Coturnix japonica: one gene and its partner. The protein of the gene in region 2 purifies or fractionates together with the protein of the main gene of each other region. This does not show direct contact. Links are inferred from orthologs where the notes say so. Each region holds a gene or a part of one and is shown on either strand. Other genes may lie near its edges.

Region 1 (3,746 bases), on a different chromosome or scaffold from region 2:
AGCTCACGGATAGACTGGTCGGCCTTAGGGGTCTTTTCCAACTTTAATGACTCTGTGATCCTATGAAAACATGACATCGGGAGCTCAGGATTCTCCTCACAGCCTGAGACTGAGCAGCGAGGCACCAGGACGCAGAGGGCCCACGGGTCAGAGGGGCCCTCAGGACAGGGAAATCGTGCCAATTACAGAACTACACACCCACCTCTCGATCAGTCCCTGCCCGACGCGGAATCCCATGCTCTCCAGTTTGGTGGTGCAGCGGCCGTTCTCCTGCAAGACACAAGGGCGGCCGCCGCCTCAGCCTCGGGGCCGGCCGCCGCCTGACGGCCTCTGGGGCGGGCAGCGGCCCCACTCACCCCTTCGCCTTGCTCGGCGGCGCGGTACAGCCCCGCCACCATCTCGTTGTGCAGCAGCAGGAACAGCGCCTCGTCCGCCATGGCCGCTCCCCTACGGGCGGCCCCCGCCCGCCGTCACGGCAACGGCCCGCAGCCAACGGGAGCCGCTGCGCTGCGCTGCACCGCCCCTTCCGGGAGCGGGAGGGCTCGGGGCCGGGACTGGGAGAGGCGGAGTGATTCTGGGGCGGGTATGAGAGCGGGGAGAGCGCTGATGTGCGGTGTGTTTGTTTTACATCGCCTTCAAAGCGGCACTTTATGTTCAACCCCCATTTTCTGCCTCTGTAAGATGGCAACCGGTGTGTGCCCCGGTGGCGCAGTGGTTAAAGACGCCGCCTTGCAACACTGGGGCCCGGGGTTCGAATCCCCCCTGTGGCGCAAGTGATAGAAGTGCCGCTCTGCTACACAGAGGCTCGAATCCCGGGGGTTGGACTCGATGATCTCTAAGGTCCCTTCCAACCCGCACGAGACTGTGAGACTATGAGAAACCGGCGGGGTGCAGCCTGAGCGGCCGCAGCCAAAACGGCACCGTGTGCAGTGAGAACGGCGGGCAGCGGAGGGCGAACACAGCACAGTACAGTACAGTACAGTACAGCGCAGCGCAGCGCCCCGCGTGCTGCCCCGTTACACGGGATCACGTTACGCCGCGCGGGAGCGTACAACGCGGCTGCCCGCTGTAACGCCCCTCCTGATTGGTCCGTCAGGCACAGAGGCTGTGGTAGCTCGAAGGTGATTGGCTCCCACCGCAGCAAAGCGACGAAGTAACTTCTCGTTAGCCACGAGAGACGTCGCTCTGGCCCTCCCGCTTTGTGATTCGCAGAGCTGGCAGGCAGCGGCTCTCGGTGATTGGCTAAGAAAGATGTCAGTCTGTCTCTGAGCTTTGTGATTGGTGGCCGAGTGCAGAGATTCTTCCCACGGGGGCGTACCCTCTCTCTTGCAGCTCGCCTATTGGCTGTCGGCGTTACCCGCCGCGGGGCTATTGGCTGCGCCGTCCGTTCCCTCGCGGAGCCGAGTGTTGGCTGCCGGGCGGGGCCTGTCCCGCCGTTACCCAGCGGTGCCTCGCGCCGTGCCCGGCTAGGCCGCGCGGGATGGCGGTGGCGGTGCGTGCGCTGCAGGAGCAGCTGGAGAAGGCCAAGGAGAGCCTGAAACACGTGGATGAGAATATCCGCAAGCTCACGGGCCGGGACCCCAACGATGTGAGGTGAGGGCCGGCTTACCGGGCTCCACTCGAGGAGGCCGCCCCCGCACCCCCGGCGCCACCCCGGGCCGTCGGGTTGCGGCCCCGCGGGGGGTGGGAGGGCGGCGATGGGCCGGGCGGTGCCGCTGAGCGATGTGCTGTGTTCACAGGCCCCCGCAGAACAGACTGCTGGCCCTCTCAGGCCCTGGTGGAGGTAGGGGGCGAGGGAGCTTACTGCTGAGGTAAGGACATGCGGCTCTGCTGCTTTATCGCGACTCCGGGTTGTTATCTTTGCGCGTTCTGTGTGCCGGCTTTGATCCGTGTGTTCACCGTAAGGGATCGGGAGCTGGAACAACGCAGTCAAGTGGGAGGCCTGCGGGAGCGCCCGGGGGTCCATAGCGGTGCCTGCAGTGCCCGGTTTGATCTTGGTGCCTTTTGGTGCGATTCCAGCTGTTAGCCTTAAAGTTAAGGAGGACCTCCAGAATGAAGGGAGGTGCGCTCTGGTGTCCTGGGCCTCCTTCCTTTGAAGTGGTGCAAAATCACTGTCTTGGTAATTAAGAAACTGGTGGTGTTTCAAAGGAGAGTAGAAAGAATGGAAGTCACCGGGATTCATAAAACTCACATAGGGGGATTTCCTTTGTGAATTTACCTTTTCTGCCCTCTTTTATTTCTCAGCTCCATGGTAGAGCCAGAATCAAGAACAGACTCATGTTCAGTAGTTTCTTCTTACCTGAGTACATGGGACGTTTCTTTAATTCTTTTAAATTTCAATATCAAATTGTTGCTGAGGCCTTAACACTTAAGAAAATGAAACTTCTTGAACCTACTGAGGTAGCTTGAGTGCAGCAGCTCCTCTGAATAACTTTAAATGGGTTGATTCACAAACAGTGCATTTAAATACATTATTACTGCAGTAACGTTGAATGAGTATAGAATTGAGTAAAAAGTGTGCCTTGTTCAGAGATCACGAGTGGTTTCCTTTCAGGCGTGGATTCTCGGATAGCGGAGGAGGACCCCCAGCCAAACAGAGGGATATTGAAGGGGCATCCAGCAGGTGGGTGGAAAGATGGATGTGGAGACCCTGCTTTTACTGTGATTCTTGCACAGTGGAGATACTTAAATGTATAATTCTTTCTTTCTTTCAAGGGCTTATGTTGCCTGTGGAATCATGGGGGAGAGAACCATATGGGGAATTAAATAATTCTGTATATTTATGAAGGGCAGAAAACTCAAAGGTGTTGAAATCTGTAGCAAGTGCTGTAGTGAAGAGCACTTTTCATCCTTTAGGGAGGGAATTTCTTGTTCCTCATCCATTCTGCACGAAGCTCCTCCTTTAACTTTGTGGGCGTATTTGATGCAGGCTGTAGTGTATTCTTCAATTTTCTGAATATAGTTACAGCGTTAGATGCCAAATTCTAAAAGCCTGATTAAAAAACTTATGCTAAGCAAAGCAGAAAACTTATGCAGAATTTAATACAGCAGACTGCAATATTAGCCCAGACTTGTTTAACAGTAGACACAAATCGTGACTGGGATTTCCCTTTCATTAATCTTAATACCTCCTGTGTGACAGTTTGTGCAGAAATTGGAGGCTTTCCCAACTGGATGCAGATCCATCAGATGTGGCTTTGGCCATAGGGAGCTGCATTTTTCTGAGTACTTAACATGCAGTGGTAAATCTTGACAAAAGCAATACTTGCTTTTGAATTTTTGATTTATACAAAATATATATTGTGAAATGCTTTACTGGCAGCAAACTGCTATGCCCCAGAGCAAAAGCTGAGAATAAGTTTAATACATTACTGAGCTGTTATGTGTTAAAAACCTCAGGTTATCCAAGGGCTCAGGTCCCTGCTAATTGCTTTGTCTGTCCTTAACTGATTTTCAGGTATTTGCCTAGGTAACCTCAATAGCTTCTTGAATTTGAGAAAATCTTAATCTCCATATCTTAGAGTTAGGGTACTATGAATAGGCTGAGGCTGGACTTGATGATCTTTGAGGTCTTTTCCAACCTGAGTAATTCTATGATGCCTTGATGCTTCTAAATCAAACTCATATTTCTCTTACCCAAATAAACGTTTTAGATACTCTGGAAAAAGAAAAGCTCAAATGAAACAAAATCCAAAGCTGTGCTAAAAAGTCAAATAGTGCAGTAATGTGGGTTCATCATTTTTACT
Region 2 (3,746 bases):
GATGCTCAAGCCAGGGATATTCCAGAAGGAACCTGGCTAGATGCTGCCTTCCTCTGCACATTACATCCTCCCACAGAAGTTATGACCAGCCTTGCTGCCGTTCCTCTCCATGACCTTGTTACTTGACTTGTCTTCCAAGCATAAAGACCATGCTAAATTCAGATGCTTTTTAATGGATCACAGGATAATTCAGGCCAGGAGGGACCTCAGGAAGTCTCCAGTCCACCCTCTGGCTCCAAGCTGGATCATCTGAGATCAGATTGGGTTGCTCAGGGATTTGTCTAGCTGGACCATAAAAATCTCCAATAATGGAAACTGCACAGCCACCCTGGGCAGCCTGTGCTGCTGCCTGGCTGTTCTCATGTTGAAAACGTATCTCCTTTCAACCTTTTTGAACTTCTCTCATTTCCACTTTTGCCCTCTGTCTCTTATCCTTCTACTACAAACACTTAGGAGGAGGCAGGATTGCATCATAGAATCATAAAGGTTGGAAAAGACCACTAAGATCATCAAGTCTGATCACCAACCCATTACCATCACTCCCAGTCAGTTCTACTCTTTCAGCCCTTGTAGCTTTGATATTTACCTGCTTATGCAAGCTATACTTTTGTCTTTGATTTAGATTAACAGACTTCAACTTTGCCAAAAATCTAAATACGACATAGAACTAGAGTGAAAAATTAAACTAAGCACAGAATCTGTGGTGGAAATGCTCATCCATGTAATCACACCAGTCTTCCTCTGATATGCACTGGTAATGGCAACGTTCAATTACAGCCCTTCCAAACACCAAAACAGCATCTCTTCACATGGGTGCAGCACAAGAGTCAGGTGTACACATACACTACAAAACAGCTTGAAAGGCAAGCGAGATGCACACTGAAGCAAAACTACAAGGAATGCACTCCAGTAGTTTTCAGACTTAAAGAGCTTTCTGTAGTACATACAGTCAAGATAAATATGCATTATTTACATTCCTGTGTACAAGAGCTATTACTGTCTCAGGCTGATCAAGGCTTCTTAGCACATCAAAGAGTGGCAATCTGAAGCAGCATGCTCACAGATCTCACTGCTGCAGCCACAGAATTACCTTGTACCAGTTAAGCAGAAGGCTTCCTAACCGCACTCCTAGCTACACTGCTGAGGAGTCAAAGATGCCTAAAAGCAACCAAGGAACGAGAGAATTGCAGCAGTGCAACATATGTTCATCCTGTCTGAAAGGTCACACAAAACATGATTAGCGCCATTATCCTCCGGGACTCTGAATATGAATATTGCCTTGAGACCAGGGCTTTCCAGCATGAGCTACAGATCAATAAGAAGGATTATACAGCAATACTCTGGAAATGCTCACAAGTAGAATATCAGTTTTTATCTCAGATTTCTCCAAAGCTGTACCTGAGAAGACAGTCTTATGCTCTAGTTCCATCTTCCAATCTCAGGCTCTTTGCACCCGTACAACACACTGGTGTGGCAGAGCACATACACTCAGAGGACTCAAAAAGAAAACCAAGAGCGTGCAGAAGCTCAACTCAGCTGCAACCTGATGGCGAGCAGCCCACACCCTGCCCCATGCTCACTCCCGCACCTCACTCAGAACAGGGCCACCACAATACAAGACCATACACGGCTTCTCAGCTTCCTCACTCAGACTTAAGCCTGTGTTTAAATAAAGCCATCCCCACACAGGTGAAAGGTGAGGCAAGTTGTTTTCCTTGATTGAATCCTTTAGTAGTAACAAGTCACTCCTACAACCTGTAAGTAGCTCAGAGATAAACCCCAAGGCTTCTAAGCTGCCAACCACCCCCAGCCAGCTCTCGAAGGCAGCTTTCCTCTCATGGACAGTGCTGGCTGAACTCAGACATTTCCAGCTGCCTTTCTGGTGGAGATCTTAGAGCTGATGCATTTGCAGCAAATGTTTTCCCTGCAGCTGCCTAGTCATCTTCAACTGAAAGACCCAAACACCAGAATCTCATCCTCAGGGAGCAACAGTGGTTCCCCACATGATCTGCATTCAAGTAAAGAACGTGATCCTGACAGAGCTCTTTTTCACATATCTGAGTGGAGACTACTTGGGATGGAAATCTTATTCCATAGGAAATTCTGATCCAATATTTAATGCAGATGAATCCTCAGCACACCACCTATAAAAGTTTACACTGCAGGCAACACCAGAGTAAGGACAGTACAATGGACTGCACAGTATTTTTCTGAAAAGCCAGCCAATGAATTCATACTTTTCTATCTGAATTATTTACAGAAACAATTGAATAAGCCAGGAAAGAAGAATTAAAATGTTCTAAGCCACTGCTTCACAAAGTCATTTTATGGTTATCATATGAAGTGACACTATTTCAAATTAATTTGCTGCACGTTAATTCCTTCACCTTTGCCAACAATAAAACAAAATTAGAAATATATATATATATATATATATATATAAATCCACCAAAGAACATGTTGCAATTCAGTAAGCTTTGCCTGTTGCTTCCACACAACCAACATCCCCAAAACAGATCAAGCTTTCATCAAGCCTAGCTGGCAATAAATAGCATTGTTCTTCCTTCCCTCAAGCAAACACTCTTTTTTTCTCTCCAGAAAATTCAAGTTAAACTTATTTTGCAGACTCACCAAAGTTGTCCACATCCCAGGAGGCAGTACCGTGTCAGTCATCGAGTCCATGGTTGTCGCATGGCCGTAGCAATCAGCAGGAAAATGAAAGGGAAAAAGAAGAAAAAAGAGAACACTTGGGATTAAATGAAAAACACTACACTACAGCTTTATGTAAAGGTTGCATGGGATTAAATGGACTGAACACCCCCCAGATTGCAATATATTCTAAGAAGGAAGAAAACAGGCACCGTAGAAATAGCGCAATGATAAAACAACAATTACAGTTTATCAATTATCTCTCAAGGCTGGCATCACTTTGAGATTAAAACAACTCTTCTACTGCACATTTTTTCTCCCTCATCAGACAGCAATAAGCAGACAACATCAGATATGAGATAAGGTATGCTATAATCTGATGCTGCAGATAATTTTAAATCCTTGACAATTAGATGTAAGATTTATTGGCAGGAAGAACAGTCAGAAGTGACCCACACCACAGTGACTGACAATATCCTCAGGGAAGAGGGGACTGATAATTTATTCCCTACAATTAAGTGACTTGAAACCTATTCTACAGCTGTGTATCTTTGCTCAGCTATATATCTGTAAACCATCAAGAACACCCAAGCTGAAATGACCACAATCAGCATCAGCTCTTTCCTACTAACAAAAATCCAAAGAACAAATGTTACAGTTTTCCCAGGCTCAGAATTGATTTCCTTTGGTAACAGCTCCAAAACATTCAACCAGGTTAGTTTACTGTTATTATTACTACTGCTATTATCTCAGAGAGGGACTGCTTTGAAGACAACTTTATAAAATCCCTACTGCTGTAGGTTTACCTAAGCGAATTGCCCATACATGTGTAAGAGAACCAAAATGTGTGTTCTTCTTTGGAATGGAGAAATTGATTGCGTCTGCAAGTTCAGGAGGAGCAAAAGGTCCCAGGGCAGTTGATAGCGAAGGCACTGAAGCCTGCAGCACAGAGGAGGACACTGGGAAGAAAATCCCTGCAACTTTATCAGCATCAGGTTTTGGCTGTCATGCAGATAGTACCAAGGCTGACAAAATGCCAAGGAATGCAACAGTCTTCACAAATCTCTCACAACAGATTGGGAAATCTTCCCATCTGA

What was found.
Region 1: the proteins of EPB41L3 (region 2) and PNN purify together in Homo sapiens (co-immunoprecipitation; 3 studies listed by BioGRID and IntAct, with this or other methods). This does not show direct contact. The link is inferred for Coturnix japonica from reciprocal best matches to the Homo sapiens genes EPB41L3 and PNN.

The regions. Positions count from the first base shown.
Region 1 is NC_029520.1:34,113,597-34,117,342, forward strand, and holds the start of PNN (pinin), read left to right. Parts: upstream 1-1,379; 5' UTR 1,380-1,480; coding exon 1,481-1,593; intron 1,594-1,739; coding exon 1,740-1,811; intron 1,812-2,554; coding exon 2,555-2,623; intron 2,624-3,725; exon of another isoform or gene 3,726-3,746. Other genes in the region: TRAPPC6B (trafficking protein particle complex subunit 6B), read right to left, coding at 203-270, 357-437. UniProt on the Homo sapiens protein: Transcriptional activator binding to the E-box 1 core sequence of the E-cadherin promoter gene; the core-binding sequence is 5'CAGGTG-3'. Capable of reversing CTBP1-mediated transcription repression.
Region 2 is NC_029517.1:90,254,094-90,257,839, reverse strand, and holds the start of EPB41L3 (band 4.1-like protein 3), read right to left. Parts: upstream 2,746-3,746; 5' UTR 2,632-2,745; intron 1-2,631. UniProt on the Homo sapiens protein: Tumor suppressor that inhibits cell proliferation and promotes apoptosis. Modulates the activity of protein arginine N-methyltransferases, including PRMT3 and PRMT5.